Drosophila melanogaster: one gene and its partners. The protein of the gene in region 2 interacts with the protein of the main gene of each other region in a pairwise test. Each region holds a gene or a part of one and is shown on either strand. Other genes may lie near its edges.

What was found.
Region 1: the proteins of wdn (region 2) and 2mit interact in a two-hybrid assay, tested with the Drosophila melanogaster proteins (one large-scale study listed by BioGRID).
Region 3: the proteins of wdn (region 2) and CG14442 interact in a two-hybrid assay, tested with the Drosophila melanogaster proteins (one large-scale study listed by BioGRID).
Region 4: the proteins of wdn (region 2) and Hmr interact in a two-hybrid assay, tested with the Drosophila melanogaster proteins (one large-scale study listed by BioGRID).

What each region holds. Positions count from the first base shown.
Region 1 is NT_033777.3:13,152,664-13,157,250, reverse strand, and holds the start of 2mit (2mit), read left to right. Parts: upstream 1-1,563; 5' UTR 1,564-1,742; intron 1,743-2,501; 5' UTR 2,502-2,883; intron 2,884-4,587.
Region 2 is NT_033777.3:28,807,450-28,813,057, reverse strand, and holds wdn (wings down), read left to right. Parts: upstream 1-1,720; 5' UTR 1,721-1,972; coding exon 1,973-2,988; intron 2,989-3,048; coding exon 3,049-4,253; intron 4,254-4,364; coding exon 4,365-4,753; 3' UTR 4,754-5,075; downstream 5,076-5,608. Other genes in the region: Prp39 (pre-mRNA processing factor 39), read right to left, coding at 1-353, 572-663, 904-943. UniProt on the Drosophila melanogaster protein: May belong to a complex set of multifingered proteins which play an important role in gene activation or regulation at early embryonic stages through a maximal accumulation of their transcripts (or protein product) in the mature oocyte.
Region 3 is NC_004354.4:6,688,986-6,696,646, reverse strand, and holds CG14442 (uncharacterized protein), read left to right. Parts: upstream 1-1,645; 5' UTR 1,646-2,690; coding exon 2,691-4,244; intron 4,245-4,533; coding exon of another isoform or gene 4,534-4,569; exon of another isoform or gene 4,570-4,574; intron 4,575-4,628; exon of another isoform or gene 4,629-4,965; intron 4,966-5,292; coding exon 5,293-6,843; 3' UTR 6,844-7,351; downstream 7,352-7,661.
Region 4 is NC_004354.4:10,590,387-10,597,686, reverse strand, and holds Hmr (hybrid male rescue), read left to right. Parts: upstream 1-1,831; 5' UTR 1,832-2,094; coding exon 2,095-2,143; intron 2,144-2,209; coding exon 2,210-4,975; intron 4,976-5,033; coding exon 5,034-5,375; intron 5,376-5,434; coding exon 5,435-6,130; intron 6,131-6,187; coding exon 6,188-6,576; 3' UTR 6,577-6,767; downstream 6,768-7,300. Other genes in the region: CG2124 (uncharacterized protein), read right to left, coding at 1-1,437.

The DNA of each region.
Region 1 (4,587 bases), about 16 Mb from region 2:
CCTCGCACCTTTAGCACCTTACACCCATGGAATGTGCTGCGTGTGCGTCGCTTTATTAACGTCTTGAATGGGGTCTCCACTGGCATTTCAGTCCGTGTCCCTGTTTCTGCTCCTGCTGCTGCTCCTGTACCGTGTGCCCTGTCCCCTGTCGTTGGCAGTGACGCTATGCTCCGTCATTAAAATACAATTTTCTGTGTCAGGTTCAAGCTGTAAGCCCAAAAACATGGCACACGAAGGGGCAAGGTGCGTGGTCGGGGAGAAATGCAACACGGACAGCACACGATATTAGTGCATGTCTTTTGGGCTGCCTTTGTAGCTGCATTTGTTGGCCCGACACCCGACAGGATTGTGGATATAGTCATACGGCCCTATAGCCATCCCACTCTCCGGCACAACAACACCTTACTCCATCCGAAGGACTGCGACTGCACGGCCATTAAACATGAACCTCGTTACGGCGTTGTTGATGTTCTTGTTATAAGCGGTAACTTCAGGGTAGTCAGGCTATGGCCCAAACTTCATGGCTCGAAGTCTGGAAGTCATGATGGCACTTTGAAACTCACGAAGTCCAAGTTGCTTGGCTTACACGGAATTACCAGACACTAAACAAGACATACTTTAATAAAAAGAGACATATTAAATATTTCAATTCAATAGGATATTTAAATGCGTTTAGAAGGTAATATTGTGGTTTAAACAGCTATTTATGAATGTCTATTTTCCCAAAAGCATCGTAAGTTTATATAAACTTGGCTATTTATCATTTAGATTACTGAAACAGTTTTATATTTTACTTGTGACCTAAGGTGCACATTCTGTTATTTTAAAATATCCTAGTTTAATAAAGAGTAACACACCAGTCTAGTTAATTAAGCCTAATGTTTGTTCAGTTGTCGGGGTGCATCACACTTTGCAGGCCACACTTAATGACTTTTGCGCGTCGCTTGCACCTGGACAACACCTGAACGCATATTCGCCACGACCCCTGTTTGGACCAACCACTCCCCCTTATCATTACATGACCTTCAGTGCTGGATATTCCGCACATCCTGGTAGCAGCATACAAAACGGGAACGTGCCTGGTGTTTGGGCTGTGGTCAGCAGTAGAAAATGTCCTGCCATGTCCATCCAAGGACCCTGTGTACTCATATTCATGCCCATGTCCATGCCCAAATATCCCTAGACTTTTGGGTAGCAATTAATTTGAAGTTTAACACGTGTGCGTATGTCTTTGTAATTATTACATAATGGCAAAGACAATGTCACAGGCAGCATCTGCCAACCGAGTGGGTGGATTTTGGTCGCTCAGGTTGTGCAAGAAACTGAGCCGAATTTCAAGGACTCGCAAATGCTAACAGGTGATGACAAACACACACACACACACATCTCTGCTGACAGGGACATAAACAAAATAATAACAAAACGCAGTCAGCAGCTTGAAGAGCAAATCAGCCAGCTGCTCACCGAATAGAAAAGAGAAACCGCGCAGGCGCCCAGCGACTATTTCGAATTTCGAACTCCGGAGGATGGCTTAAAAGCATGTCCTTGCCGAGTGAGCAGCTCAGTCTAGTGCTAAATACATCGAGGCCAGGACACGCGACCCGAGAAAGCGTCGATTCAATCAAACAAAAACCAAGTGCCAAGTGCCGTGTGAAGAGGCCACAAACAACTAACTAACTAACTGCCTCCAGAAACTGTGCGATTCTAACCAAAGCCAAAAATAAATATAAAAAAGTTACCAGGTAGAGCAGATCGAGCTTGTTTTGAACTGTGTGGTTGGCGTGTGTTTTTGTATTGTGCGTGTTGCGTTGGTATTTGTGATGTTAGCCAACTTCCGGTAGAAAAAGGCGAAATGTCAACATATTTTTTGTATTTTCTAGCTAGCAGACAGCAAGGCGTCGAAATGGGAATTGGGATTGGAACATCCTCATAGCTAACACATTATTTATGATACTGACTGTATTCAGTGGGAGGTTGTTATTTTGAGAATATATATTTGTATGCCTTTATTTTTTAATATCAGATATATTCATATATCCATGCTTTAAGGAATAAAATTCGTATGAATGCGAACATAATAAATTTTTGAGATGAAAATTTAGCGTTCGTAAAACAGCTGATGAGCAGAATTATGTCTTAATGCATAGAATAGAATATTTTATATGAATATACTTCTAGCACTAAAGCTGTGGAATGAATGAATTCAGAAAGAGGTTTATTTTGTGTCCAGTTAAAACAGAGTAAACATTGTAAAGCATGGTTCTGGGATAGAGTGTGTTGTTTGAATATAAAAACTTTTAAGAACTTTGCCAGCATACCGGATAAAGAATTTCGCGTGTTCCACTCATTTCCGCCAGTTGCATGTATGTGTGTACGTGTCTTTGAGTGTGCACTATGCGTGTGTGTGTGTGTGTGTGTGTAAGAATCTGCTCATTTCCGCTCGCCTGCAAAAGCAGGTGAAAGCTAGCTCGTAAAGCTCACGGTAAAATATCCATTTGCAGTGCATCAGTGCCCGGGAAAAAGACTTAAAGCAAACAGCAGGCGAAGTGAATAAACCATAAACAAAACCCCCGAAAATAAACCGAAAGCAGGGAAAAAACGAAATTTAAACGTCTGTGCATATTAATCAGAACGAGAAACGTGAACAGGATCACGTCCTAGACAACTTATCACAGAGGATTTACGCAGACAGACAAACGCAGGACGCGAATGCGAGTGTAGAGCAAAAGGCAGCGCTAATCAACGACCAAACCAGACGACATCCTTACCGACTGGCCACGCCCACAACTCCCCCTCGAATAGGAGAAAAAAAAAACCACCAGAAGCCTGGGAGGAGAAGAGCAGAAGCCGCCTCATTTGGCCACTGCGGATTATGTTAATTAGGTAATTTTTGCTTTGATTACTCGTACCTTTGGGGGTTGTGCAATTTTGTTTGCTTTTCTCCCGCTTTTTGAGCACGCTCCTCAATTTGACACCCAACCACCCAAAGTCCGGCTTACATATTTATGAAATTTCCATGCAAATCGAGCTAATTCATTCACATTACGCTGCTGCTGCTGCTGCTCATCTGGCAAGCGTTGCTCAGTTTTTAATTCGCTGCCTTAATTGCAAGACAATTTTTTTCGTTCGCCCAACTGATTTGTAGTTAAAAACTCATAATTAACAGGCAGTGGCGTAAATTGAAAAAGTTTCTCAGGATAACTATACCTCACTGAAGAACAAATTGAAATTATTATGGGCAAATGTAATGACAACACGGGGAGTACATTAGAAATGTTAATCAACAACAAATGAAAATGTTAATTTTGATTGCTTTGGCCGGCAAATAGAATTATCACTTGCAAAACCGATTCATGGCCAACCAATTCCAATATATAAATTAAAAAATTAGCCAAATTCTGCTCTTTTTCGAATGCTGTTAATGCAATTGGAATTAATTACGAGTCCAATAATTTATTTAACAGCTGACATTTAATGGTTAAATGGTTACTGCTTGTGTCAAGCACTACGCATTTGGATTTGGTAAATAAAACAATTTTGCAACCACAACACTATCAAATATTACTCGGAACTAAATGCAAAGCCAGCAGTTGAATTATTGTGGCCTGTATGCCCAGTCAATTGCAAAATTCGATAAATTGAGGCCTGAATTCACGGAGGAGAATGCAAATTGTGGGCAAAAGTCCAAGGCTCCTGGGAGGACAGAGGTCAGGGGTTTCGGCCAGGACAATGCCGAACAAACTTGCGACTGGCAATGGAAACAAAAACAGAAATTCCCAGTTGCCGGCAGGCATTCACAACTTTATACTCAACCTACTCTGCCGTTTCAGCATCGATAATTAAATTGTGAAATTGTGAGCTCTGAATCGAGGATGGAAACTATGGAAAATGTGGCTAGAAATCATGCTCAAGTTTCTGCCACAATCTACCTACCTCTTAAATCATTTCAGTTGAGTTTTGGGGGCGCGTGGGAGCTTTATGATTTTCATTTTCAATTTAATTTGATTGATTTTTGCCTTGTTTGGGCTCTGGCACATGAAATTCATACTCGTGAATTATGCATGCAAAGCTGCTCGCAAAAGTATTGTGAAATTCCTGTGGGCAATTTATTTATTTACGAGTATATTGCGCACAAGCTCGCCAAGAATATAGAACACAATGGCGGTTAAATTATGTACGTATAGAGACACCACTGCATACCATGAGTCTATATATCGCCAACATATTTAGTATATTTATGCTCTGGCAAATTGTCAAGCGCAAATTAGGCAAACGCTAATTCGACTTTTATCTGACACGGCAATAAAAACTTTCGGTATCCGCACGAAAGAATCTTCTACCCCGAAAAGCCATAAAGTCCAAGTTCCTGGCAATTAATGCAGCCACAATGTCTAATTAGATGGCAGCAAAAGTGCCGCCAGTTCAGCTCAGATAGCACACGCACCCCAAACTCGGGTTGGCTTGAGTACAGGTAGCACTCCGTATGGGGGATGCTGTTCAAAAAGGGCGAGGGGTGCCGCCGCAATTAAGTGCCTCAGGGTGTGGCGCGAGTGGCTCTTGTGCGGTTAAGATGGAAGCACCATGGCA
Region 2 (5,608 bases):
TTGACATTGTCACTCTCGTCATTTCCACCCACGGAGGGCAGGCTGTTGGCATTATCGCCGGCTAAAGAAGCCAGTAGGGTGTCCACGCCAGCCTGACCGCGTGTCTCTTTAATATCATCACTAGTCTCTGAATGCAGCTCCGCCACCGTGCCAAACGGGAAGGAAGAGCTCTTTTCATCAACCCCAGCAGCTTCGGCTGGCAGCATTTCCACGTCATCCTCTATCTGGTGCTGAGTCTCCTCGAATTGGGGCTCCAAAGCAGGTGCCTCCGCAGTGTTTGTCCCTCTAAAGGGCTCCTCCTCTTCCTGAACCATGACCACTTGCTCTTCGGCCTCCTCTTCGTGGTCACTTAGCTGAAAGGATTAAAAGTCGTTAATGAAGGTTCCCGGCATTTCTCAGAGCATTTGTGGATGCTGTGCCTTCAGTTGGCCCTTGCAGGTAATCACTCGCTCCTCCAGGGAGAAGAATCATGTGCGGATGGAACAACGCCACACCCACACTGGAAATTGCAATCGTTTACATCATTGGCTGATGATCTGGAAGAGGCGGTAACTACGTGGGATGAACTGACCTGTACGTTCCGCTTGGATGTGCGCCGGGTGCTTCTGGTTGGCAGCGATGCAGCCGGGGATGCGGCCTTCCGACCAGAACGTGTGCGGCGACCTGGAAAACGTCAATTAACTTTCTTGGTTAATCCATGCGGTTTACATAAACTGTACGCGCGGTGTTGTGGGTTGTTCGCTGCCTCGTGATGTTCACTTTTTTCCAAATGCTTTAATGGGCTGCTCCAGCTAACTGTCAGTGTCAGCTACCGAAATGGGCTAGTAAGGACTGAATTTTTAATCAACGGTCACTAGGTCCGGTCGAAGGAATGCACGTATTTGTAATTTTTCATCAATTTACCTGGACTTTCCATAACAACGTTTTCGCCCTCTGACGCCATATTAACATTGCAACGTGGTATCGATATACATGTCCCGCCAATATCGATATCTCTTTGTTTGGTCAAGACTGACGACTGACTCATAGCTATATTTTGAATATTTTTCAGAGGTTTTTCGAATTTCGATATTTATCATTTTTTAGCATTGATGAATGAATTATATACAATCTATCAAAAAATATAATTTAATAACGAAAATAGCCTAAGTGCTCAGTGTTTTTCCAGTTCGGCGAACTAGTTCATTTTTTGGCGTGCGCATGCAGAACCTATCTCAACATACAAATTCTAGCAGAAATTACATGTTCCAGCTAGAAATATAATTTAAATATTTTATGGTAAGAGGACTTTAAATATCACCATAAATAATTCTTAATGAAAGAAGATAAAATTTGTTTAATGTTACACATATTATAAATTAGTGGGTTATTAAGTTAACATAAAAAACATAAACAAATAACACAATCATTGGGCCTACTTCCTTTAATATTTAGGGTTTGAATGTTCAATGCATAGGATTTTAAAAGCCCAAAAAATTGTTATAGTTTCTATACAACATAATCGTGAATTATATCAAGTAAATACAAACATGTAAATGGAATTGGTAAGTAAAATGTTTCCTTGTCGGACAAGATTTCTTTTTGAGTCAAGAAATCTCTTTAAATGTTATTTAGAATGGTGAATCCAGTCGTGAATTAAATATAGCTAATAACCCGCCTGGCGAGCATCACTCTTAGCGGGACTGCCACTCGTGCGCGTCTTCTAACACTGTTCTCAAAATGGCGACTCGAGAATTGTAAGCGTGACAAAAACAACAAAGCCAAGGCGCATTTCACAATAATTAAATGTTTTTCGATCAATTGCGGCGCGTTTAATACAACGAAAGCGATCGCGATGAGTGAATTGGGGACCCAGTGACCGGGCAACGGCGACCAGTGAACGCAAAGCGTCAGCGGCGCGGCGAACAAAGACAAAATACGGCGAGCGAAAACGCCGACCGCATAACCTGTACGTGTAAGCAAGGCAAGGCGAATGGAAGGCGGCAAGGGCGAGGGCAAGAGAATGAAAGAGGAGGCGCCAAGCAAGAAGTTGCCGCCTAAAATCTACGGCGGCGATGCGGGCACCCCCACGAAGGCGGCCCACGACGAGATACTCAGCTCTCTGCTGCGGATCAACAACTTCGACTCGATATCGAGCATCAAGGACGAGTCGCTGGACATCGATCTGTCGGCGTGCGTGACCATCAGCTCCGCCAGCCTGGTCAATGGTAACAGTCTCTCCTCCACCGACTTTTGGCGCGTTTTGGACGAGAGTGCCCAGAACAACACCGAGCTGAATCTATCCTCGGACGTCTGCCGCGATGACTTGGCTGCCACCAGCTCGTCAACCGTGCCCAGCACTCTGACCAGTGATAACCACTCCAGCTCGGAGTTTAGTGTGACTTTCCTGCGGCCCGAGCCCCCGAATGCTTTCACTAATTCCCCGTTTAAGAAGACTTCGTCCAGCGGCACCTCCACACCCGTAAAGCTATCGCCCGAGCAGCTCCACCAGCAGCATCAGCTCCAAATGCCCCAGTCTCAGCTGCTGCAACGCAAGCCAAAGCTGCCGGCGGCGACGGCGGTGCGTCTGAAGGTCTTTAAGGAGGAGCCGCCCGAGGAGAAGCATCCGCCGGAGCAAGTGGTCACCAAGGTAGAGGTGTGCGAGTCTGAGCTGCTGCCGCCATCGTTTACCATATTCCAGCAGGCCAAATCGGCTGAATCGGTGGCGGATGCGGCTAGCATGCCGCCTCCGGCTGCTTCGGAAACGAAGCCGTTGGAGGTGGACCCGGCACCTCTACACAAGTGTCTCGACTGCAACGGACTGCTGCTGGAGACGCCCGATGAGGTGGCCAAGCATGAGGCGGCCGCTCACAGGCTGAGGCTCACCTATCGTTGCAGCGAGTGCCAGCGGGAATTCGAGTTGTTGGCTGGTTTGAAGAAGCACCTAAAGACGCACCGCACCGAGGGCCGCAAGGACACCTGGAAGAAGTGTCCTGACTGCGGCAAGTGGTAAGTGTTACTGCAAACTAAAAATAGTTATTCCTATTGACCATTTTACTCTAACTTTAGCCTCAAATTGGGAAGCATGTGGATGCATCGGAAGATTCACAGCGATAACAAGAAGTACCAGTGCGACATCTGCGGCCAAAAGTTTGTGCAAAAAATAAACCTCACGCACCACGCACGGATTCACTCATCGGAGAAGCCGTACGAGTGTCCCGAGTGTCAGAAGCGATTCCAGGAGCGCTCACATCTGCAGCGCCACCAGAAGTACCATGCGCAAACGCGTTCCTATCGTTGCGAAAAGTGCGGCAAGATGTACAAAACGGAGCGCTGTCTCAAGGTCCACAACTTGGTGCATCTTGAGCAGCGACCATTCGCGTGCACAGTGTGCGACAAGAGCTTCATCAGCAATTCGAAGCTTAAGCAGCACTCCAACATACACACAGGAATGCGCCCGTTCAAATGCAATTATTGTCCGCGAGACTTCACCAACTTCCCCAATTGGTTGAAGCACACGAGACGCCGACACAAGGTGGACCACAAAACGGGCGAACACCTCGAGAACATTCCCTCCTACTGCTCTAAAAAGTCCACTACAAACAAGGCCCAAAAGGCAGCCGCGGCAGCAGCAGCAGCGGCGGCAGCATCTTCAGCTGTGAATCCCAACGAACTCTCCGCTTCTAGTGAACTTAAAGCCAAGGCTAATCTTACGTCTACTGCTGCACCGGCTCCTGCAAAACAAGCGCGGAAAAAGAAGCAGCCGCAGCAGGCCACTCTTGCTGCATTGGGAATAACTCTACCTGCCGGTACTGCTCTGCAGCAAGTGCATCCTGTGCCGCTGGCGCAACAGCATCAGCAGGAACTTACCACTGTGCTGGTGCCGCTGGCCCCGCCGGCTCCTAAGCAGACCAAAGCCAAGCGAGAACGAAAGCAGCTAGCACCGAAGCAACTGCAGCAAAAACCGCAGCTGCTGCAACAGGGCCAACCCCAGCAGTCCAGCTTAGAGCCCATTCCTGCTGTGCCGCAAATCAAGAAGGAGCCAGTGCAGACTCAGGGTCCGTTCCTTGACTTACACGGTCTTAGTCTGACTTCAGCCGAAGAGCTGATCATGGAGCAGGCCCTGGAGATGGAGGAGTGCGGTCTGTACGATGCTCCTAATGCAAACACTGAAATGGGGACGTCGGACAACGCCATTTCCGATTCGGCCGCTGCCCTGCACTTCCAGATAAAGAATGAATTACCGGACGAGCTGTTGCCAGACGATGACTTCTGTAAGTTTCTAATGAAAATGTCCTGTTTTATGAATTGATTTACCTAGTTATTCGTATAAAATAGTATTCCTTTTAAAAACTTTATATTAATTTAAAATTTTATATTTGTAGTGCCTTGTAAGCCCAGCGACCGACTACCTTGCCCCTCACTGGAGTCCTCGCCGTTTTCGTCACCCGCCTCCATGGAGCTGACCGCTGTCTCATGCGCCTCCAGTGTCGCCATATCGACGAATGCTCTACCAGTGCGATCTGGGAACTACTATCTACCCGCCTTTACGCTGAATGCACACGGAAAGCTTAGTAGTACGGGCAATGGTGTTCAGTCTGTGACCACGAGCTTGGCCCAGACACCCTCTGTGTCCATGGTGAATGTGCCTCTTCTGGTGAGATCCAATCAGATGCTGCCCTCAGTTGACACGCTACTCTTCACCAACCAGACAGGCGGAAGTCGATTCTTTGCGGGGAAATCGGCGACTGCGGCCACGCCGCATCTGACATGATCGGGCGGCGGAATCTGCTGCCTGCCAACATCAACGCCTCAACGATCTCCTGTGTCTTAGTTAAGTTAGCAGTGTCGACCATGTTGCACCAGCGCAATTGGGCGGTCGCGGACCGATGGCAATCGATTAAAAGAATACGGAATTGTTTCCCGTAGGTAATTAAGAGTATGACGCTACATTTGTTTAAGTAATTGACGTAAGCTGATTTCTGCATAGCCCGTAAGTGTAATTGAGTGTACATATAAACGATTATATATAGATACATAATGATAGATCTTTAATTTGTACGCTTCACACCAATAATAAATTTCGTACATATTTTAGTAAACATCCCATCATTTCTTGCAAATTGGAACCGTTCCCTTCTTTGCAAAGGGCGTAATTTAAATAGGTCGCGCTGTAATTCGATGCAAATGGGCTTAGGTTTACCATCTATCTAAGAAGATCATTCACTGTCCAAGTAGAAGAGTTTTAAAAGTAGCTGGAGAAGATGTGGGATAAGCCAGGTATAAAAGACTTAAGTTATCTGTTCCGAAGAGATACTCACAAGGGCTGAATACCTACTCAATCGCAATCACGAATTGGTTTGGGTGGCTCAAAATGGTGAGCAAAGCCTGGATTGTAAGTATTGTTAAAACGAATATGAACTCCCCGTACCGAGCACTGTATGTTTTGATTGTAGTAATTAACCTCCACGTTTCTAATATATATACGTACTCAATCTGATCGTAGTTCTAATCTAAATGAATCCTATCAGGGCAACCCCAAAAGCTTTAATACTTGAAGCCACCTTGTTGTACGTTGTTTTATTTAATTTATTAACGTTACTTCCATCAGTTGTTGAAATGTGTATGA
Region 3 (7,661 bases), on a different chromosome or scaffold from region 2:
GAGGCAACAAGTGCCTTTCGAGGAAATCCTCGGGCGAAACTTGCTATAACATTCAAAAATCGTATTTTTCCACAACAACTGAGGCACCCTAGTGACGAACAACCCCCATATGTGTGTGTAAGTTGGTAAAGGCATGTAACCCAAAACGGACAGCGCCACTCACATAAGGATAATATACACACACTCGGCAGCTCCCACATAAATATATGTATATATACAAATTTATATATATATATATATATATATACATATATAGTTGGAGCATACACACATGATCCGTAGCCAGGCACATAACGCAATATTTGTTAAAGCACGCAATCCTTCCTCCCTTCCCCAGCCAACATCCAACCGCCCACTTTTCCTAGACCTTATCCTTATCCATATCCTCAGCCTCTTCCCACGCCCATGTCCTTCCGCGCGGGCCCACATGATATATACATGATATATATTTATATATACATATATATACATATGTATATATATATATTATGCTAATTATTATTAATAAAGTGTAACCATTAAGTTCTAGTCGAAATTTCAAATTGTTTTTCTCCTGTCTAAATACGTTTATCAATTGTTTTTTGCCTTAAGACATAAGATTGAGATACATTTTTGTGTATTGTAATATTCGTGTACACTAACAATGACAACACACAACAAGAAAAATCAACAAACAAAACACAACACCAAGAAAGTGAAAACAGAAACAGAAAAATATAAGCGAAAAAAAACGAGAATAACAAAATGAATATACTTGAATAAAGTTGCATTCACAATTTTTAAATGCTGCGTTCTGAGCTTTGGTGGGAATTTAATAGGGAATAGTGATAATCTAAAAAAAAGTAAAAGCGTTATCAACCGGAAATGATCAGGAATGGTTGATAATAACACTACAATTTTGAAAATTTCCTTCAAATCTGACAGAATGTCCTCGATGAACCTGAAGGGTGGGTCCCATTCTCAGGATCGCCATCCGTATGCTTGTTGTACATTTAAGTATCACAGCAATTAAACAAATTAAAAACTCCCATCTAAAATACATTTAAATATAAAATATAAATAATTTACAAACTCCATTCAGCACATGCTACTGAACTAATCCTATTATATATACGATTATCTACGATTATCAACGAAATGCTCTTATTGGAAATAATATAGTTTCTAATTTTATATAAATAGTTTAATTCACTTTTATAAATCGCATTTATTCATTTCAAAAAGATTTGAAAGCTTTGGAATGTTAATGCCCTGTTAACATAACATAACATAGTTGATTGTTATGTAAAGTAAGCTTTAAAACAGTGTGGCCAAGAGGCGAAAATTTGTTACAATTGAAATAGAATTATCCATGTCTTGACGTTACGCTTGATTTTTAAAAAATCGATTTCAAACATCAAGCTATCGACAAGCTGATCTAACTATAACATTAAGTATGGAAAAATAGTACATATATTCTGTAATATGGTACTGCAAAACTGCAGCCAAATAATAATATAAATATTATCTGCCTGCAAGACTAATTTCCAAATTGTAAAATAAACCCGGGCGATATTTCAAGCGGAACATCGGTTAATCAGTTGCATTTTCCAATGAATCGACAGCCTGCTCAACTATCGATGTATCGATACTTTTTACCATCCCTACTGTGAACAGAACGATTGTTGAAATGAAAACAACTGAAATAAGATGAATTAAATTAAATTAAAGATACAGTACCACGGATTGCGAACAAGTACGCATACTTCAAGTTAATGACATTACGGTGCGATCGGAAGTGGCAGATATACGCTGGTCCCAGCTATGTGGAAAATTCCCGGTAGTTAAGTTAACGCTGCGCCGCCACAGAACATCCTTTTAACCCACCAAGAGAAAAGGCGCCTGGATGCACCGCAGCACGGCGAATAAATGGAATTACAAATCAAAGGGTTAAGGTTTGTGCAAAAAGCAAAATAAGGAGCGGAAAAAAACTCGCACACACGTACGTTGCGTATTGCTTCGTTGCGCGTGTGTGTGTGTGTGTTTAGCAGTGCGTGCTTGTGTGTGCGGACGGCGGCTGCATGGGTGTGTGTGTATAATCATGTGAAAAATCGATTGGCAGCGCAGAAGCAGCGCGGCGGCGGCGCCAATTGTCACTGACTCGCAAGAAGAAGCACGCTTTTATGAAAACGCACGAAAAATTGTAATGGCCAAATACGAACGGTAATAAAGTGCATAATGCTAAAAATGGAGAAGAAGAATACCGCTCATAGCCAAAAAGGGAACGAAAGAAATGCCCGAGGACCACAATAACAATAGCGGAGTGATCGCCGCAAAAATAGAGTGCGAGAGAGAAACGGCGCCAGCACACACATATTCTTTATATAACTACTAGTAAGCAAAAAGCGAAACAAAACAAACACAAAGAGGAAACGCCAAGGAGCAGCGGACGAAAAAAAGAGCGGGAGACGGCCCAGAGCGTGCGAAAGAGAGGGGGCGAGCAAGAGCGCGGCCCCTAGATGTTATCGAAACAATCGGAAGGACTGCGCTCATCCTTTCGATAACCAAATACCCATCGTCTATATACACATATATAGATATATATCTATAAATATATATATAAATATATATATATACATAACAAACAGTACACTTTTGGAGCCCCGATAGACGACAATTTCGATTGTTGTTGCCCCGGCTTTTGACCAAGAATGGAACCAGATCCCAATGGGATAAAAATAGAGCCCTCACTTGATCAGCAGCAGTACGCCACCCATGTGCTGGCCATCAATGGCTCCAATGCCCGCCTGCTCATCGAGCATCCCTCAGCTTTGTTGGTACCACTCTCCTCGCATCACCAGCTGCAATTGCAACAGCAGCAACAACAGCAGCAGCACGTACAGCAGCAACATCAACAACAGCAGCAGCAGCATCAGCAACAACAGCAACAGTTCCAGCAGCAACATCTTCACCAGCAGCAACAGGATCAACTGCAGTTCCAGCAACAGCATCTCCAGCTTTATGCACCACTGAAGCAACAGCAATTGCAGCAGCAGCAATCGCAGCAGCCACCCACTCCATTGGGACCCACCAGCAGTGCCAGTTCCGCATCCATAACAGGTGCCTCCACCACTGGCCACCAGCAGAGGTGGAACGAGAGCCCCGAGGCACGCCAGCGCCGTCTGGCCAGAAATGCTGAAAGGATGCGGGAACGCCGGCAGCGCGAGAGCGAGGAGGAGTATCGCAAGCGACTACTCCGGAATGCAGAAGCCAATCGCCAGAGACGCCAGAATGAATCCGACATAGAGCGGGCCATGCGGCTAGTGAGGAATGCGGCCAGGCAACGGCTACGCCGGGCCATGGAGTCGCCGGACCAGAGGGCCAAACGGCTGGCCAAATTGGCCGAAAGGATGCGCATGTATCGCGCCAGCGAGACGAACGATCAGCGAAAGCTCCGGCTGGCAGAAATGGCGGCAAGGGCGCGCCAAAGGATCGCCAATGAGTCACCGGAGGAGCGGAAGGAAAGACTGAGAAAGCTGAACGATTATGCCAAAAAGGTCAGAGAAAAGAAGAAGGTACTGAAGCATGTTGTGGTGCACGGTGGTTCGTCGTCGGTGGTCGTCTCAACGCCGACATCCTCCTCGTCGTCAACGGACCAGCAGCACCACCACCAGCAGCAGCAGCAGCAACAGCAGCAACAACAGCAGCAGCAACAACAGCAGCAGGTGCTGGCTGTTGCAGCAGCAGCCGCAGCAGCGGCGGCAGCCAATTGTACTAACGAACACACTATCAATCTAAACCAGGCGACCACCACAGCGACGACGACGACAACGGACGAGGCAGGCACCCCGCAGCCCGCGGAGGATCAGCAGCATCTGGTGACAGCAGCCGCCTATCAGCAACACCAGGCCCTGGCCGGAGTGGAGTATATGGGACAGGGCATGTTTCTGGCGCCCGGCTCCCTACGTCCACCCATGCAACTGAAGCAGGAGCCACAGACGCCGCAGCAGCAGCAGATTACACAGCAGCAGCTGCAGCAGCAGCATCAGCGATACACCATCACCGGACAGCAGCAGCAACAGGTTACGGCTGCTCTGCTCGAGGGCACCGAGCCGGGCAGCATCTTTGTGCAGCAGATCTATGGCGATGAGGGTGGCAAGGGCACCGCAAAGCTGCTCCAGGCCCATGTGCCGCACTTCAGCATCGCCGGTGGCCAGCTGGAACTCTACCCGCACAAATATGCTGCCAAGAAGCAGGAACTTCAGGTGCGTATGCAGTAGGCGTAGTAGATAGCAAGAATGATCGGCGATAGCAACTAAATCACGCACACACACACAAAGTAACGCAGCAAAACTAAAGTTTGGCATCCTCCAGGAACCTCATCTTGCCCATGAATCCATCAATGTAATTTGTTATCTAGAAACACTATTTATTTGAAATCTAATCGGTATTAGAAAAAAAGGGCACTATCTACTTCCAGTAAACGTAAAATCAAAACATGATTAGCCTAATTTAGCTTGATTCCTGAATAATAACAATAAATGATTTTTACAGTTGCAGAGGAATTTGGAATCGAATACAAATTCGTAGCGCTGGTAAAATATCAAACAATTGCCAATACTCGTAAATTTCAAATATTTTCCTTGCAGTTGGCGAAATCAACTGCCTCAAAGGAAAATGCTTGAAACCGGAAAGTAGGAATTTTGAAAATATATAGAATTCAATGGAAATTGGCAGAAGAAGCGGCCAATGGACCTCTCTTTTTTTTTGCGCGTTGCCTTACCCGCATTTTAACTCCTCTTTTGATCAAAAGCGAAAATCGTATAAGTTTATTTCAGTTAACATTATTGTTCGTTGTTCATATTACTTGTGTTAGTTCTTTTTTTTGGTCAGAAGCAAATGAATTAATCAATCGTATAGAGTGTAGATATATGTAGCAATGTAAATCTTGAACCTAAGAACAAAATACTTTTACCAACCAGAAACAAACAAAAAGTGGTTTTAATTCCCTTGTACAGGTGTGCGTTCGTGTGTGTGTGTGTGTGTGTCCTCCATCTATCCCTTTCGCTCTATCACTCGCACTCGGTTCTTTTCGAAAACCAATCTATAAGACCACCTTCAATCACATCAATCAATCTTATCACTCAAATTACGAAATTAGGTTGCAATGATTTGTAAAATTCAATTACCGAAGATTGCTGTGATTGCGAAGATTAAGATTTATACCAGAATTCCAAACCGATAGTCCCATAACCCGCAGAATCAAACCGACTCACCCGTTGGCTTGCCAATCCCTTCTATCCCTTCTTGCAGTCGGACAACGATGCTACGGTATCAGCGGGCGGCAATGATAACAGCGGGTCTGTTAGCCTCGGCCACAACGAGACCAAGGTGATCGTGACGACGGCCAGCGGGGAACAGAAGCTGCTTAAGGCGACGCCCGGCCAGGCGCAGCAGCTGTATAATCAATTCCCCTACCTGGCCACCTTCCCTAACACCACCAGCAGCGGCAACAGCACCACCAGTACCACCAATGTCGGACACGTGGGCGTGGTAACGGCGGGTACAACAACGGGCGCCGGCGGTACAACCACCACCGCCTACTATCCAATGTACCACAATGGCTTCCAGATTGGCATCGGGCCGAATGCAGTGCCGCCGCCGTTTACGCCCGTCAACTTTGCCAACGCCAGTGGTGGCAATAGTCCCGGACAGTATAACATACTGGCGGCGAATCCAACGCTAACGGTCACTGGATTGGGACAGCAGGAGCAACAACAGACAGGCGCGTCGTCGGCGGCGGCGCCACAAATTGTGACCACACCTGTTGGCAGGGGCAGGCCGCGAAAGAATCCGTTGCCCAGCGAGGAGCAGCTAAAGGTGAACAGTCTGCTGGAGCAGGAGCTCAATCAGATGCTGTCCGCACCGCAGCTGGCCACCAGTACGCCGCGTCGCGGCAGGCCACTGTCGCAGGCATCGCAGCAACATCATCAGGAGCTCAGCCAGATTCATGTACATTCCACGGCCGATGGCGACAGTCGAACGCCAGTGTTGACGCCGCGACGCAGCGGTGCTAACAAATACGAGACGGAGGAGGAGAAGCGAATACGTTTGGACAAGATGGCCGCACACCAGCGAGCGGTGCGTGCCAATGAGACGCCCGAGCAGCGGGCCACGCGTCTACAGAAGCTGAGCGAACGGGCACGACTGAAGCGGGCCCAGATCCGAGCCACCGAGAATACGGACGAGCGCAAGGAGCGACTGTCCAAGCAGGCGGAATATGCGCGAATGCGACGCATGCGCAGCCACACGCCGCGCAGCAGCAGCGCCACCAGCACCGAGTTCCGTGCCAAAACCGAGGAAGAAGATGAGTGCCAGGACGATGACACCAGTGCCGAGCATCATATGTACGAAAGTGAAGCCGTTTCGGTCACTGGCACGGGCAGTGATGGTGGCTTCGTTTCGGTGGTGAAGGCCGACAACGACGATTCACCATTGGGCGGTGGCGATGGCTCCAACGATCACGAACAGTTGCCGGCGCTGCAATTGCAGCAGCATGAGCTGCAGCAGATTGCCGGCAGCCTTCAGCAGCAACATTTGGTGCCGCATCCGCATCACGAGGCGATTGTGTTGAACCAGCAGCACCGCCTGGTGACCATCAGTCAGCACCAGCAGCAGCAGCTCCATCAGCAGCAGCATCCTGGCTTCAGTAAACTGCAGACGGTCAAGGATTATGCAAATGCAGCCGGCGGTGGAGGCGGAGGAGGAGCTGCTGGTTCTGGCGGCGGCAGTGGAACGGGAGCACCCGAAAACAATGACATGCTAAAGATACTCGAGCCAATCATTGTGATGAAGACCAAATGAGGTTCGCGGAGGCGTCACAGTCGCAGCACCAATCGCTAGAAGGGATATGTGTGGATGACGTGCTAGCCAGGCCTCCATTTCCGCCGGAATATCAGGCGTTGGACGCACAAACGATGGAGATATCTGCGAACAGTAGGGATTGTCTATAGTTATCAATAAGCGTATATTTTTTTTTAATCTGTTTTTTAAAGTGTTAATGTACTTCAATGGTAGATTTTGTAAAAAGTCAGAGTAAGCGGAGATCAAGGATCAAGTGCAATACGGATGCCTGGCAGGCACAAAAGTCCACCGGAAACCCAGAAAGCTAAATGAAATGAAACACTGTGACGCCCCGAAAGCCACTGAAAATCGAAGAAATGCAGCTAAAATAAAAAGATAACTACGATCGATGGTGGAGATCCAACTAAACCTAATCCAGAATATGTAGCGCGTAAACAGAGCACTAAGTAGTTGTATGTATTAACTATTAATTTTTTAAATTAGCAAAAAAAAAGCAAAAAAAAAACCCAAAATAACAAATAAATCTAATAAGATCGAAACAAAACGGTCAATGGCAGCGGTGTATGGGATGTATGTGTGGTCAGCCAGTGGCTATCGGTTATCGATAGCAAATGCAGAGGCGAACGTGTTTTTGCATGTTGCACGTCTGGCGCGCACATGACGCGCATGACGCGCACCACATCCGCTGGAAATTTTTTCCAAAGGCAGCCTTTCTTTCTTTCTATTCCTACTCATTACGGTAGTGGTTGTCAGCGTGCAGGTGATGGAAAAGCTCTGGAGGATCTGTATAAAAATCATAATTAACTTTTTAAAAATGT
Region 4 (7,300 bases), on a different chromosome or scaffold from region 2:
GCGTCCGTCCCGATCGGGGATGTACTGCGTGTAATTGCGGCCCATCTGCTGTCGTTGCTTCTCGGTAACCAGTGCTCCCTGGTATTCCGGCCCCAGGAGGCGTGCGAACCCATCCAAATGGAAGTACTCACGCCCGGGCAATCCGCTTGGGTACGCATGCTTCAGGAAACGCGGCTCCAGTGCCACGCCCAAAAGCTCAAGATCGTAAACACCACGCATTGTGAGAAACTGAAGGCAGTTGGAGAAACAACGAGGATGGCGCAGTATCTCCTCTATACGCTGGCGCAGCAAATCGGGCAATCTCTCCGCCAACCGGCGTTCCACTCCCGACTTAGTTGTAATATTGAAAAGGGCCATTACCAGACAAATTCGCTCCATATCCTTGAGGCGGGCAGTCTCTAACTCACGCTCGAATCTCAGCAGTATGCGCTCCACCAGTGCATCATTGCACGTTTGCAGTTCACAGCCCAGAAGAGCCATGTGCAGGCACGTGAGGAGGGAAACGCGATCCACTTGCGACTCTAGAGCGCTTAACATCTTCTTTAGCGGCTCCACTTGTGGCAGCTTGCTGCTGTACCGCAGCACCTTGAGCAGCGCTACCAGGACAATGTCTTCCACGGTGTCCAGCTCGCTGCCTAATCGCTGATAGAGTTGCGTTAGCAGCTCCGGATTTCTGATAGGCGTCTGTGTCTTAAAGAAGCCCATGGCCATTACGCCCAATTCGGACAGCGTCATTTGATCCACGCAGCGGGCCAGATTCAACTCGAAATCGAACATCTCGAAGACGGGTCGGCGCAGTAGATTGCACAGGAACATGGAGTGAACGAGCTGTTCTGGCGGCAGCTTTCGCAGCTTGCGGCCGAGCTTTTTCAGCGCCAGCCACACGTACTCGCCTATCCTGACCAGACCAAGACGATACCAGGCATCGCTCACGAGTAGCAATTGTTCACTGGACCATCGCTCGATGCGGCGACAGCACTCGATGTCCAGGGTATTCCATATCTCCATGTAGTTCTTGGCTTTGGGCGATTCCGGTACGGGCAGCTCGGCCAAGGCACTAAGCGATCCAAGAAGTTGTTCATCCGTAAGGCGATGCAGCTGCTCACAGAAGCAGCGGGTAAAGGCTTCGTAGCGGCTATCGCTGATCTTCAGTTCCATGCGATTACAGTGCCTCACCAGGCCTAAAAAGTCCGCATAGAGATCGGCAGCACTGGCATCTGGCTGTGGCCGCATAAAGCCTTCAGATGCGGGCAAATCCTGCCAGGCGGAGTCCCGAGGACGCAGTATTGCATACGGTTTGAGAGAATCCATCAGGATTCCATGGGCGAACTGATTCTCTCGGTCCGCAAATATTCGCGCTGGTGAAACGATCGTCGTGCATACTTGGCGGCGCAGACGTCCCACACTTCGCCAGAGGTAGTTTGTTCTTGCCCACATGTTTTAGAGCGATATTTGGTTGTAAATTAATTCAATTCAATTGAATTTGAATGGAAAACGCGTTATGAAAACATTCGTTGAAAAACCTGCCGGCTAAACAGCTGACTGGTAAGCAGCGTTGCCAGAACGAAGAAATTGGAGTGCTCGCAAGTGGGAGAACTTAACGAAATATTCTGCTCTCAGCGCTTGGCTGCTATCGATAACTCCACTGATATCCAAATGGGTAGCTACTAGAATGTAGCTTTACAAATTGTAACGTGTTTTTTCAACTTATTTTTGTTTAACTTAACACAAACAAAAATATTTAGCTATACAATTCTATTTCACACTCAAATATTAATCGAATGTTTCGATAACGGTATCCGTGGTCGATAACGCTCTTTAACCATTTTGCGTTTGCAACCGCCGACTATCTGGCGTCGCAAGAAACCTTATTTACGTAGATATATTTACGTAGATACGCTTGCACTTAATAATCCTGTAGTTGCAAGTTGTTCCCAAACTATTTCCGAGTGATTTTATGCTACAAAAGAGTGAAGAGTGAAGCAGTGGTTCCATCGGATTGCCCACCGGTTTCTCCGTTCCGAGAATTCTCGACGGCTTGTGTGGGGGAAAGGCGCGCGTAGGTCAAGATTGGAGCTATCAGGTGTCTAGGACATGGAGGAGGAGCCTGTTGCCATTGAAAATGATTGCCAGATAATTGTTTGTAAGTCCGACAGTTGGTCACCTGGTCAGCCGTTCAACTAACTTCCGTTTTTTTTTTTCCTCAAAGCTGACACAATTGGTCAGAAGACGAATGGCGTGGATGACGATAAGGCCCCAAATCCGTTCAGCAGATGCACTTATCCGGGATCTCGGGATGGCGGCATTCTGCAAACCTATAGGGCAGAGAGGCTGCTCATCGCTTTGGTACGCCGCCAGCCGCTATTGTATGACGCCCGGCATCCGAAATTCCGCGACGTCGCTCAAAGGGAGAAACAATGGAAAAAAATCGCCAGCCGCCTGGCAACGAATGCGACCAACTGCAAGAGATCCTGGTCGGCGCTGCGATATAAATATCAGCGCCATGTTCGTCGTCTAAGAAACTTTCATCGCAGTGCCATCCAAAAAGATCGGGCGGCCCTGCGTTGGCGTCCTTGCATGGAATACGAGGAAGAGATGCGCTTCATGTATACCCATGTGGCCAGATTCCCACTGATTGTCGACAAGATTCCGACAGAGATTCTTGAAAAAGAGCATGTGGATGAGAGCGAAACCCGGCCCGATGTGGAGGTCATAGAGAATCCGCCAATGGACATCATAGATTTGGATGTCGAGGAGGACCCCACCTATAACTACCGTTGCAACAGGTTACAGCGTCGCCTCATAGAGGCAGTCAGTGCCTATCCCCTTCTGTACGATAGCACGTGCACGGGCTATCAGAACACACGACATCGCTTTCTAATCTGGAGTGCCATTTCAAACGAAGTCCATGACAAAGCCACCAAGCTGATGAAGTGCTGGCTAAAGCTGCAGACTCGCTACGAATGGGAGTTAATCCATCGCCCACGTCATATCGGCACTTCGGAGCTGTGTCGGTTGATGGACTTCATGGAACCGCACGTACAGCGCATGCGCGGCACCGTATGCAAGTCTTCCAAGTACCTGCAAAACGGTTGGCACGAGCCCATTGAGAATTTCCACACTGTGATGGCGCTGATCACCACGATGCGCAACATGCCAGAACTAGTTCAGCTGACGGAGGACTCCCTGCACAACAAGGTGAAACCGCCGCGCTACGACGAATTCTGGCAGAAGGTCGGCATGGAAGTGATGTGTAGTCACGAGCACTGCGAGGTCACCTGGCTGGTGCTGCGCGCCTTTTACCACGAATTGCAGGCCGTGCGCTCATCCGGCTATCAGCTGCAGGACAAGTGGTTCTTTGAGGGCTCCATGGGTCTGGCCTTAACGCCAGTTACCTCTCGTTCCACGGCCCGTCCCGCACTAAAGCGGACAGCCAACGGCGCCATACCAGTGGCGGGGGAGCCTCCGGCCAAAACACCGGTGCCGGTACGTATGCCATTGGCTATTGTCTATCCGTCCACCTCAAAAGGCAGCAGCACGAGCATGACCAACAGTGCAAGCACTGCCACAAGCATTGGCCCCACCTTCACCAATGTTAGGAGGTCCTCTGGCCCAGTCATTAACAACACATCCACCGCCGCCGCCGCAACGAACAGCGTCAGTTCGAGTGTATCGCCCGATCAAGCTCTTCCCAAGTTTGTGATTCCCAAAATCACGTCCGCCATCAGTGTGGGCTCGGGATATATGATACCCCTAAAGTTTGTGCCCAACGTACGAATTTTGCCCAAGCCGGCGGCGACTATGGGAACGGGCGTGTCCCCCATCGCCACCACCAATCAGATGGCGGGCCCAAACGCAAAGCCGCCTGAAGTGCGTCCACAGATAACGCAGGGTCCTGGCTTACAGGTTAAGCTCCATACGAAGCCTCAAATGGCCAGTAGACCGCAAATGGCACCTGTAGTCCCCCGCACTGTAATTCGAACAACGAATCCAACCAATCCAGCTCAAACTCAAGACAGGGTATCCGGAGGGCCAATGTCGACACTGGGTGAACTGCTTAGGCCACAAAATCCATCGCAAATACGTTCACCAGCTCCGCAACAAACACTGCCAAATTTTGTACCAATAACAACATCGAATATTACAGCTAAAAGCAATCTGCCAACACCCACTGCGGCTCCAATGGTACGAATACACCAGCCGGGACTGAAAAGCGCTTGGGATGGCAAAAGCAATAGCGCTCCGTTCAGTAAGCCAATAAGATCACTATTAACCACATCTTCGCCTGCAGCTGCTCCTATTGTAGCAACTGCGGAACCAGCGAGAGCAAAAATAATACCACCAAAGCCCAAATTGCCAGCAACAACATTAGTAAACCCCAAAAAATATCAACCAATCGTACCGGTAGCAGTACTACCTACAGCAGCAACCAGGATGGCCAAACCTGCAACAGAACCAGCAACTGAGCTGCCTGTAACTACGCCACCAATCGCCACTGGACAAACAACTCGAGTCATACGAAAAACACCATTATTTCCTACATCTGCAACACAAGCTGCATCTGACTCATATGCCACAATACAGGGCACATTAGCAAGCCAGGCTAAAGCTGTGGGAGCAGCAATATCAGCACCAGTGGTCAGACCAGCCAAATTGCCGACAGTAGCCAAGGCAACAACAGCATCGCAGTCAGATATAAAAGCAACTGCAGCCGCATCCGCAACCCTAGGCAGTCAGCCGGAGAACTTGCCGCTTGGCAACATAACCGTGTGTCTGCACGAGAGTGATACCACTGGGAATGAACTGCAAGTTTGGTGCGGAAATCAGGGTACTCGCTTCAATCTCAATATGATTAGGACGACGACGTTGATCCGCGAGGTGATGGCTGTGCCGCAGCTGCACAAGGAAGATCCACAGTTGGCGGCCAAGTGTGTTGAGTTCTGGCATTTTATCGCCAAGAAGTTTCACATGCCAGGTAGGAGTAACTATATATATATTAGAAACATTGGCTCATACGTTCTTTTGTTCTGCAGAGGAAGCTTTGCGCGCATGCTGGAAATTCTTGGCGGCCAACATGAGTGTGTTTCCAAAAATTGCGCCGATGTCGGAACTGATGCGTCCGTTTAAGTACAGCGAAAAAGTGTGGGAAAAATCGAATCGCTTGTTTGGCAAATTTGACGAGATAGCGCTAAAATACCAGTGGTTGAATCACAAGAACGTGTTGCCGGAAGTAATACGCTTCTTCGCGAAGTACGAGTACCTCTACTGCGATTTACGCAGGCCGCGACCTGGCGAAGATGCTCAAGCTCCGCCCCAGTTGACGAATCAGGAGAAGCAGGAGGTGTGGCGGGAGGCCCGCCTTAAATTCCCAAATCGTATGTTTAATAAATGTTATAAGCCAATCATTTATTAGTAATTTTCTGTTCTTTTGCAGTCAATCATCGGGATATTTGGTCAATGTTTAAGTTCGCCTTCCGCACATACCTGGATGATTTAGAGCGCGGCATCGATAATCCCTGGCCGCAGAATTGGTGGCAGGCACTGGAGCAACTCAGGTTTCTGGTCAATGTGCGCTACCATCCGCTCGAGCCCTACTACTATATAGTGCACAACAGGATGTCAGAGGAGGTGAAGCGCTGCAAAATGCACGAGGCTCTAACGTCCTCCGATCATATCGATAAGACCAAATTTACACCGAGCAAACTTTTAACGGGCTTTTCCAAAGAACCCAAGCCATGGGAGACGGAGGAGGCCAAGCGCTTGCTTACCGGCAAGTTGAATAGCGTGAGAAGCACTGAAACTCTCACTCAAATTGCTCCAGCTCCGGCTCTAGCTTTGGCACCCGATGCCCAACCTATTCCTGTACCTGATGGCGTTTCCGTGTCCAAAAAGACAAGCGAAAGCAAGCCAGCGTCAAACGCCAACGTCAAGTCTCATAAAGACAAGAATATCTCCACCGCCCAAAAGCGGCCGACCCCAGCGAGAAGTGTCACCTGTAACAATCTATCCCCCATTGAGGCGTTTGAGTTGTGTAAGAAATTGCGTAGCCAACCAAACAGCTTCGAGCGGGCGAGCACTCTGGACAAGCGAGCCGCCTGGGTTCGCGTATCAAAGGAGTTGCATGCCACAGGTAATCATTTGCAAATATGTCAATTTAGACATTTGATTAAAAGTACATATTTTGCAGTGACCGAATGCCGCCTTGGTCTGCAGTACGCTCTGCGCGAGATGCGCAATCTGAAGATCGCCGATCCAAGCAATCAATGTACAATGGGCCACAAGTACTTGCACCACATGTCGGAAATCTATAAGCAGGTGAAGCCGAACGCCCAGCTGACAGTCCGCACGCCACAGCAGCTCAACCAGTTAAACGAATCGCTTGCGAAGAACACTCAGGAAGTTAGCCCGCAGGAGTTCCTGCCTGAGATCAATTTGTCCACTTGCAGTCCGGATCTCGTGGTGAAGAATTGGGCCTACGCCGTCGGTAACTTGTCCACGGCCAGTCAGGATACACTGCTCGGCAAGATGACGCAGCTGTTCTCTAAATACGCCAAGGTCAATCCGCCACCGCCTTAGCTCTCGAAACTTTTGGCACACGTAGTTTAGTCATACATATTCTCTGTAAGAACTTTCGCCGTACCATTGACACCCTTCATTGCCACAGAATACATCTTATTTATTATTAAGTGCATGAAATTGCAATAACTTTTTTTTTTTTTTTAAGAGCCCTCTAGAATAACTTGAATAAATGGCCACAGTCAACTTTCATATGATGTTTTGCACTGGGACTGTTAAATTTAAGATTTTAAGAGTTCCTGAGTACCATAGGTATAATACCAAACTGAAACTTGCGCAATAATAAACAGTATCTAATGTTGTTAGACGCTTAAAGTCGCAGAATGATAGCGATGAGGGCAAGGCCCCATGATTATATGTCGGTCAGCCGGCCCCGCCCACTTGTATGGCCTCTCCGAGGACATGAAAGTAAGCCCGAATAAATTGGGCGTGCAATTGGGAAAAGATTTGATTGCCAAGTTCCTGGAGGAGTGGCTAGATAATAAGGCGCACGTAAAACACAGGGGATGATTGTCTAGGACAAAGGAATGGCCAAACTATTTGACGATATACTATTTAAAGGATTTTAGTAATCCTCCCACATTTCTTTCGAAATGACGAACAGTAAACAACGGTTACTTTTTGGCTCTACCACCTTCTTCGCCAAGTTATAAGGAAAATATCAGATTTTCCTTTTTGCAGTTTTTTGTTAAAAAAAAATCACAATTTCTTCGAAAGCAATTAA